Oryctolagus cuniculus: one gene and its partner. The protein of the gene in region 2 interacts with the protein of the main gene of each other region in a pairwise test. Links are inferred from orthologs where the notes say so. Each region holds a gene or a part of one and is shown on either strand. Other genes may lie near its edges.

Evidence for each region. The genes of interacting proteins can lie anywhere in the genome.
Region 1: the proteins of UBASH3B (region 2) and DOC2A interact in binary tests that used the Homo sapiens proteins (3 or more experiments, as listed by UniProt). The link is inferred for Oryctolagus cuniculus from reciprocal best matches to the Homo sapiens genes UBASH3B and DOC2A.

What each region holds. Positions count from the first base shown.
Region 1 is NC_091450.1:7,405,492-7,409,773, forward strand, and holds the start of DOC2A (double C2-like domain-containing protein alpha), read right to left. Parts: upstream 2,801-4,282; 5' UTR 2,600-2,800; intron 1,905-2,599; exon of another isoform or gene 1,886-1,904; intron 1,681-1,885; exon of another isoform or gene 1,428-1,680; intron 1,427-1,427; exon of another isoform or gene 1,407-1,426; intron 1,367-1,406; exon of another isoform or gene 1,216-1,366; intron 892-1,215; 5' UTR 879-891; coding exon 614-878; intron 327-613; coding exon 247-326; intron 65-246; coding exon 1-64. UniProt on the Homo sapiens protein: Calcium sensor which most probably regulates fusion of vesicles with membranes. Binds calcium and phospholipids. May be involved in calcium dependent neurotransmitter release through the interaction with UNC13A.
Region 2 is NC_091432.1:115,071,971-115,075,952, forward strand, and holds the start of UBASH3B (ubiquitin-associated and SH3 domain-containing protein B), read left to right. Parts: upstream 1-1,182; 5' UTR 1,183-1,331; coding exon 1,332-1,459; intron 1,460-3,982. UniProt on the Homo sapiens protein: Interferes with CBL-mediated down-regulation and degradation of receptor-type tyrosine kinases. Promotes accumulation of activated target receptors, such as T-cell receptors and EGFR, on the cell surface.

The DNA of each region.
Region 1 (4,282 bases), on a different chromosome or scaffold from region 2:
CAGGGAGCAGGTGCAGCTTGACGTAGGGGTCGGCCAGGCCGTTGAAGTCCATGGGCTTGAGGCCCTGCAAGGAAGCAGTGTGGGGATGAGGGCTGTGCCTGCCTGCCTGCCCTCTGCAGAAGTGGGGGGGAGGGAGTGGGAGGAGCCAGCGAGGGGTGGGAGGGGGGAGGAGCAGTGTCCTTCCTGCCCCTCCCAGGGCAGAGGGCAGAGCAGGCGAGGAGGGCCTGAGAGGCAGGAAGTACCCACCTTGGCCCTGAGGATGCTACAGTGCAGAGCGCAGGAAGCCTGGTCATACAGAAGATCAAACTCCAGGGTGCCCAGGGCGGCTGGAAAGAGGGCGTGAGTCAGTGTACCAGGCCAGGGGTGTGCGAAACGGGCTGGGCAGGCATGGGACGGGTGTGTGCCCTGGGGCGGCGTGTGTGCGTGTGCGCGCGTCTGGGTCCCCGGCTCGGCTGCCACCGGGGCCGTGAGTGGGCTGGTGGAGCGTCTCCGCAGAAATATTGAAGCTGCAATCGCCTCACCACGCCGGCTGCAGCTGCGGCAGCGACAGGCCCCCCCCCCCACTCGCCCCCTCCGGCCCCCGCCCCCGCTGCCCGGCAACCCCCAGACTCACTGGCGTCGTCCGAGTCGTAGCTGTCCACCTCGGCTCCATCCTCAGGCGTGGTGGCCCCGAGGAGGGCAGCAGGGGGGGCCAGGGCCAGGGGGGCCAGGTGAGCAGGGGCCTCCCCGCAGCTCCCGCCCCCTGCTTCAGGTCCCGGGCCCAGGCGGGGGAAGTAGTCGGAGATCTGGCGGATGGGCCGGATGGGCCCGGGGCACACGTTGATGGCCATGTGCTCCTGGATGTTGATGGTCATGCGGTCGCCCCTGCGGCCCCTCATGCAGCACCCCTGGCTGGCGAGGGGGTGACAGCGTGAGCCCAGCCACCTGCCGCCTCTACTTGCCAAGGCAGCCTGCCCGGCCAGTGGCCCTCGCTGACCTGCCTTCCCAAGTGACAAGCGGACAGCAACCTGTGCCAGTCAGCCAGCATCACAGGGGCCGCTCCCCCACAGACGGGTCGTGGGTCCCCCTCCACCTCGTGGGTCTACCTGGAGGTTGTCCCTTTGTCACCTTCCCACCTCCCCCCTCTCCTCCTGGGCTCTGGTCTGCCCCGAGCCCAGCCTCCCCCAGAGCCTCTTCATTAGGTCCCCGCCTCTGTCCCTCAGAGGCTCTGCCCACCCTCTGCAGCAGGCGCTGGTCCGGTCAGGGTGTCACCCGGCCCTCAAGGCTGTCCCTTCATTCAACCCCAGGATTCTTCTGCCTGCCTGCTCCTCCCCCACCCCGCGCCGCGCAAGGTGGGAACCCCAGCCTGCGATGCCTCCTCTTGAAATTGCAGCCGCAGAAGCGCTGAACACCCCCGTAGCACCCACCGAAAACGCGCTGGCCCTCACCCTCACACCCGCGGCCGGCCCAGCCCCCTGCACCTGCCTCTATGCCTCCAACAGGTGCCCGGGCACTGCGCTGCCGGCGGGTGCGGGCTGGGCGGCGGCGGGCGGCGGTCCCCGGCGCGGCTAGCGAGGAGAGCGCAGAGTCCGGCTGTGCGCGCCGCTTGGGAGCCAGAGCCGAGAAAGTGCGGGGAGGAGGGGGTGAGCGCGGCGAGGCGAGGAGGCCGCCGGCGCCGGCAGCGGCGGGGAGGGGGGGCGGGGAGGGACGGCCGGGCTGGGGAGGGGGCGGGACTCCGGCTCACACCCGCCGGGGCACGCTCCGGAGCGCCCGCCAGTGCGCACCCACCAGCGCGCACACGCACGGGCACGCGGGCTGCCACCCGCTCGTGTGCACACGGGCGGGCACCCACGGCGGGCCGGGCGCTCCCGCGCGCACACGCCTGGGCCCACGTGTGCGAGCTCACACGCATGCACACGCGCTGCACACTCGCAGGAGAACTTCGCAGACGCACACCCGCAAACACGCGAGCTTCCAGCGCCACCACGAAGCTGCGGCGAGAACGCCCGGGGCTTTCCCAACTCCTCCCGGGAGACCCAGGCCGCCGCCCGCGCGTTAGGCCCGCAGCGCCGCCCTCCGCTCCCGGGTCTCCGGACCACCGGCCTCGTTGCCATGACAACGCTGGCTCATTCTCCCCACCCCTCCCCCGCGGAGAGGCTTGGAGGAGGGAGGAAGACGCCGGTCCTCCCCAGCCTTGGGTCCGTAGGGGCGGGGCTTAGTGATCCGCAGTGACTTGGGACCGGGATAGGGTAAGGGGATCCAATCCACCTGCCGCCGCTGGCCTGGGATCTGGGGGTCCCCAGCACCTCCTCCCTTTGGCTGTCCTTGTGACCCTACTCAGCCCCCAGGGCCCAGGGGCCCCTTCCCAGGGGTGATATCTCCCTTGGGGATCTCCCCTCCCACAGTGCATGCCCTGCCCACCCGTGGGCTTCCCCAATCAGGTGTCTCCCAAGGCCCTCCTCCTCATTCGTCTTTCCTGGCTTGAGCCCTGCCCCAGGCCAGCTGCCGGCCACCACTGGCTGTGACTAAACCTAGCCTGGGATCTTGGCTCTACTTTGTCCTGGCGAGGCCTTCAAGGCTCTACAGACCTGGACCACATCCGCCCCCTGCCCACAAATACCTGAAGTCCCCGGAGCAACCTTGACCTTCAGGTCTCTGGAGCTTGGCTCAGGAAGGCTCCTCCACCTAAGAAACCTGCCTCTCCTCCAGGAGTCATCTCAGGCCACCTCCTCCTAGAAGCCTTCAGCGAGCATCCGGCACAACCCCCCAGCCGGTCCCGCTGCCCCCCCTCAGCGTCCAGAGCTGGGCTGTGGCTGTTTGCTGTCTGCTTGTTTACGTGTCCAACTCCCCCACTAGCCAGAAGCTGATTCATCTGAGTCCCTAGTGCCCCAGACAGGGCCCAGCGCTAGGCCGGCACCACTGAATGATGGGATTGAAGACAACCATGTGTTTGCACAACACACTGAATATACTTAGGCCACCCAGCCCAGCACTGAGGACTGGTGAGATGGGGGGGGGGGGGAGGCTCTGGGACAGCAGTTAAGGCACAGCCTGAGCTCCTGCGCCCGGCCCGCCCGTGTTGGAGTGCCTGCACTTCAAGTCCAGCTTCCTGGGGATGCGCACCCCGGGAGGGCTGAGGGGATGCTCAAGTGATTGGGTCCCTGGGAGACCAGGTGGAGGTGCTGGCTCCTAACCTCGGCCTGGCGCAGCCCCAGCTGTGTGGCATTTGGGGAGTGAACCAGCAGATGGAAGCTCTCTGTCTGTCTGCCTTTCAAATATATAAGTAAAGGTTGAGAGGGTGTATGTTTTGCCAGTTTTTAAAAAAGTAAGAGGGGCCGGCACGCTGTGGCGCAGTGGGTTAACGCCCTGGCCTGAAGCGCTGGCATCCCCTATGGGCGCCGGTTCTAGTCCCAGCTGCTCCACTTCCGATCCAGCTCTCTATTGTGGCCTGGGAAAGCAGTAGAAGATGGCCCAAGTCCTTGAGCCCCTGCACCCACGTGGGAGACCTGGAAGAAGCTCCTGGCTCCTGGCTATGGATCGGCGCAACTCTGGCTGTTGCAGCCATCTGGGGAGTGAACCAGCAGATGGAGGACCTCTCTCTCTGTCTCTACCTCTCTAACTCTGTCTTGCAAATAAATAAAAATAAATCTTTAAAAAAAATTTTTTTTTGACAGGCAGAGTGGACAGTGAGAGAGAGAGAAAGGTCTTCCTTTGCCGTTGGTTTACCTCCAATGGCCGCCGCGGCCGGCGCCCCGCGCTGATCCGATGGCAGGAGCCAGGTGCTTCTCCTGGTCTCCCATGGGGTGCAGGGCCCAAGCACTTGGGCCATCCTCCACTGCACTCCCGGGCCACAGCAGAGAGCTGGCCTGGAAGAGGGCAACCGGGACAGAATCCGGCGCCCCGACCGGGACTAGAACCCGGTGTGCCAGCGCCGCAGGTGGAGGATTAGCCTAGTGAGCCACGGCACCGGCCTTTTAAAAAATTTTTTTTAAAAAGTAAGAGAAATGTCCCCTCAGACTCCACTGAGGTAGCCCTTGCTACCCACCCACTGGGAAGAATTCCAAATGTCTGGTAGCACACAGTGTGCTGAGGCTGTATGTGCACGGACACCGACTCCGCAGAGGCCGGCAGATACCAACGCGACCAACACACACATCTTTTTGAAAGATGTACTGATTATTGGAAAAGCAGAGTAGAGAGAGAGAAATATTGCTGTCAACTGGTTCATTCCCCCAAATGGCCACGACCACCAGGTCTGGCCCAGGCCAAGGCCAGAAGCCAGGAACTCCATCCTGGTCTCCCA
Region 2 (3,982 bases):
CACAACCCACAGGGTCACTAAAAATTCAATCGGTTCTTGCATTTAGTATGTTTTGTACAATGATTGGCATATACAAGGGCACGGGAAATATTAGGTTTTATTATTACGCTATTGTTACAAAAAAAAAAAAAAAAACACAAAAAATAACAAGAGGATGACCTAGAGTGGACTCTGTCTCTTTCACTGTGTCAGATGGAGCCCTGGCCCTGACAGAGGACAATGACTGTCAAAATGACAGGGCTTTAACGTCCTCCAGCCACGCCGGGCATCAGTACGGAGAGGACTGGCCACCTTCTTCCAGGTGGAACTAGTTTTGCCCACCCTAGATGCAATTCACCTGTGGTTTCTTTGACTCCTTTTCTTGACGGGGCCCTCATTCCCTAGCGAAGACCAGCGCATTCCAAAGAACATCTCTTAGGATTAGAGTGCCCTCCCACTCCTTCCTCCTCCTTCTCCTTCTTCCTCGGGGTCCTGCATTTCCCCTTAAGTCACTAGGCAGTCACGGGCCACAGCCGTGGACAGCCAAGTGCGTCTGCAGTGCAACCCCTTGGCCGGCTGAGGGGAACTCGCCCTCCCACGACCCCAACAACCCAGCAGGTTTTTCAGGATCTTTCGGAAGCAAAACCTTGTATTGGGGCTTTTTGGACCAAGAATGCCATCACCAGTTCTCCCGATTTCCAGGGTTAATCCCATCTGGAACTACATACCCTTGAAATGGGTTGATGTGGAGTCTTGGGGCCCGGCTGAGAGCCGGGGAGCCAGGGGTGGCTCTCGGGAGCCTCCACGCACCGGGGCCGGCGCCGGTCGGGATCCCCCGCCCAGAAGCTGCGCGACGCAGCCGGCGGCGGGAGGGAGCCACCTCCGGCCGCGCTGCCGCTTTAAGAGAGGGGCGGGGCCCGGCACAGCAAGCCAGGGCCAGCCCACAAGGCTCCTATTCCTTTTTGATCCATTCAAAAATTACTCATTGCAAATTCCCGGACTGCTAGGAGCGGAGAAGGAAGGGGGCGGAGGAGAGAGGGCCGCTGCAGGCATTGCGTCGGGGGCGCCCGGGGGGCCCGGGGCGCTGACGGCCGGTCCCACAGAGGCTGCTCACTGGCGCCGGGCTCCGGTGGCCTCACCAGGAAGCGTCAGTCTCGACCCCGGGGAGGCTCGGAGCGCCGCCCCCGCCGCCGCCGCCGCCGCCGCCGCCGGGCTCCGGGTACCTGAGTCCCCTCCCGGGCCCCCGGCTCCAGCCCGCGCCCTCCGCTTTCCCGGACCGTCCGGCCCGGCGCCTTCCAGCGATGGCCGGCCGCTGAGTCCTGGCTCGGCACGGCCACCTCAGCGCGCTCGGCATGGCTGCGAGAGAGGAGCTGTACAGCAAAGTCACCCCGCGGAGGAACCGCCAGCAGCGCCCCGGCACCATCAAGCACGGGTCGGCGCTGGACGTGCTACTCTCCATGGGGTTCCCCCGAGCGCGCGCGTAAGTGACCGCCCCGCGCCCCTCCCGCCCGCGGCTTCGCTCCGGCTCGCCTGGCCGCCGGGTGCCCGGTGCCGGCTGCCCGCGACCTGCTGGGCGCAGGATGGACGCGCTGCACCCCTCCCCCCGCCTGGGACCCCGCTACTTCCCGGCCGCAGGGTGGGCGCGGCGCCGCGCGGGCTTGCTGGGTTGGGGACTTGAACTGGGAGCCTAAAGCTGGGAAGCTGAGGGCCGCGGGTTCGAGTCCCCGGGCGCCGGATCCCCGCGGAGGGCGCTAGGAGGCTCCCTGTGGCGCACCTCGAGGTCTCCTGCGCCGAGCCCCGGGAGGCGGGGCCCCACGGGCGACTTGGGCTGACTTGGGATGCGCCGGTGGCCAGGAAAGGGCGAGGCACTGCGGGGCCGGGAGGCCGGCGCCCCCACCGCCGCCCGCTTCCAGCTGCGAGGTCGCTAGGCGGCTCGGTGTAGCTCCCGAAGAGGCGGAGCGGGAGCGTGGGTGTTGCCGCGTGCTCAGTGCTGGGGAGGACCCGGCGTGTCCTCAGTAGTGACTGCAGTGCCGAAATCTGTGGGTGCCTGCGAGTGAGCAGAGACAGCGGCCCTCCTCCGCCCTTCTCGCTCCGGGAGGGTGGGATGGGGAAGGGCGGCGAGAGCGCGCAGGTGGCCGCCTCCGCAGCCTGCCGAGAGAGGCCTGCTTGCCAGCTCTGGCAGCAGCAGCAGCAGCAGCGGCAGGGGTCTTCCTAGGCCGGTCAGCGGAAGCCTGGGGCGCGGGCACCCTGCCTAAGAGAGGCAGGGTGCTCAGGCCCCTGTCCTGTGGCCTAACCCTGTGCAGGTCTCTGAAGTGGCCCCCCGCAGAGCGCTGCTTCTTTGAATGACGTCACCGGACAGAAGAGTTGGACAAACTTTATCAGGAAGGGCCGGTGAAAACCCAGATTCCTTCTTCTTTGCCTCCTGGTCCTTTTCAGGTGGCAGCTCTGCCCCTGGGTGAATCTCTTGGCTCTACTCAGTGCCCCTGGCCTGCTGGGACAGGGTGCCGTGGCTTTGCAGGGTCACACCGTGCTGTGTCCCTGGCTTCCAAGCACCAGGGCTGCAGTTCCCGATGCCAGGATTACAGAGGGAAGAGGCGGTGGGCTGTGTGGGGCGTGTCAGGTGCGGATGCTGGGAGTTCAGAGTCGTCCTGAGGATGTCAATGTGCCTGGCTCTCTTTAAGAACTGGAGATAGGATCTGAAGAGGCTGGAATTAGCGTAGTCCCAGGCATCTGCCTTTTCTGAGCCAAGGCCAGCATTAAGGACCAAGATTATTTAATTGTGGGAAGAAATACTTAGGGGACCCGCCTCTGACTGCCATGCTGGCTCTTGGGATGGGTTTTCGGGGACATCTCCCTCATCCCCCCAAATCCAAGAGGACTGACAGCTGAGCATAATGGCCTAATTTTGGCTTGCTTCACGCCAGAGGTCCCATAATAGCTAGCATTGGTTGAGTAATTACTGTATACAATTCTGAGTACTTTATCACCCACTCAATCCTCCTAGCAATCCAATGAGAAAGAGGATAACTATATGCTCATATTATGAACTGGAAAACCGGGGCTTAGGTTTCGTAACTCGTCCAAGGTCACAACAGCAAGCAGTCACACTGGGATTCAAACCCAGGCTTTGTGTCTGTACAGCCCAGGCCCTACATCTCAGGCCACGGTGTAAATTTCCCAATACAGGTGAAAAGCATAGAGCCATTCCTGGCACATAGTGGGCAGACACTGAGTGTTGCCTCACAGTTCTTCTGCTGTGGCTGCTGTAGCACAAACTGGGCAGCTTCGAATAATTGATTTATTACCCCTCAAGTCTAGAGGCCACAAGTCCAAAATCAGGGTCTCTGCGCTGAAATCGAGGTCTTAGCAGGGCCATGCACCCTCCGGAGGCCCTAGGGGATGGTCCTTTGGTGCCTCTTCCAGCTTCTGGTGGCTGCCAGCACTCCCTGGCTTGTGGTCACCTCCTTCCTATCTCTGCCTTGGTGACCATGGTGTCTTCTCTTTGTCCATTCTCCCTCTGCATCTCACATAGAAGTGCTCATGTGATGGCACTTGGGGCTCGCTTAGGTAACCCAGGGTCATCTCCCATCTCAAGATCCCTAACTTAATCATGTCTACAAAAAATCTTCCCCCTCTCCCTTTTTAACCATCTGCCTGGGCATCCACAGATTCTAGGGATGAGGGCATTGACATTTGGGGGGCGTCATTATTTAGTCTATCACACGGCTACTGTTGAGGGTATTACAGAGCAGGCTGGGTAAGGGGGTGGTAGGGTTTGCTGCTCAGTCTGCCATAGATTCTGTGGCTCCAAGGGGTCAAGCCCTTGGAGCTCACACATGGTCTCTGGTCTGCTCAAGGCCTGCACAGTCTTACCTGTCCCGTGCCGTAACCCAGACAGGCGGATGCGGGCAGCCTTCCCCTTGATAACTCTGGTCACTAACAAGAGAGGTCAGCAGACGTCTCAGGGGGCAGGCTTTTAACTTCATTTGGGAGAGAGACAGAA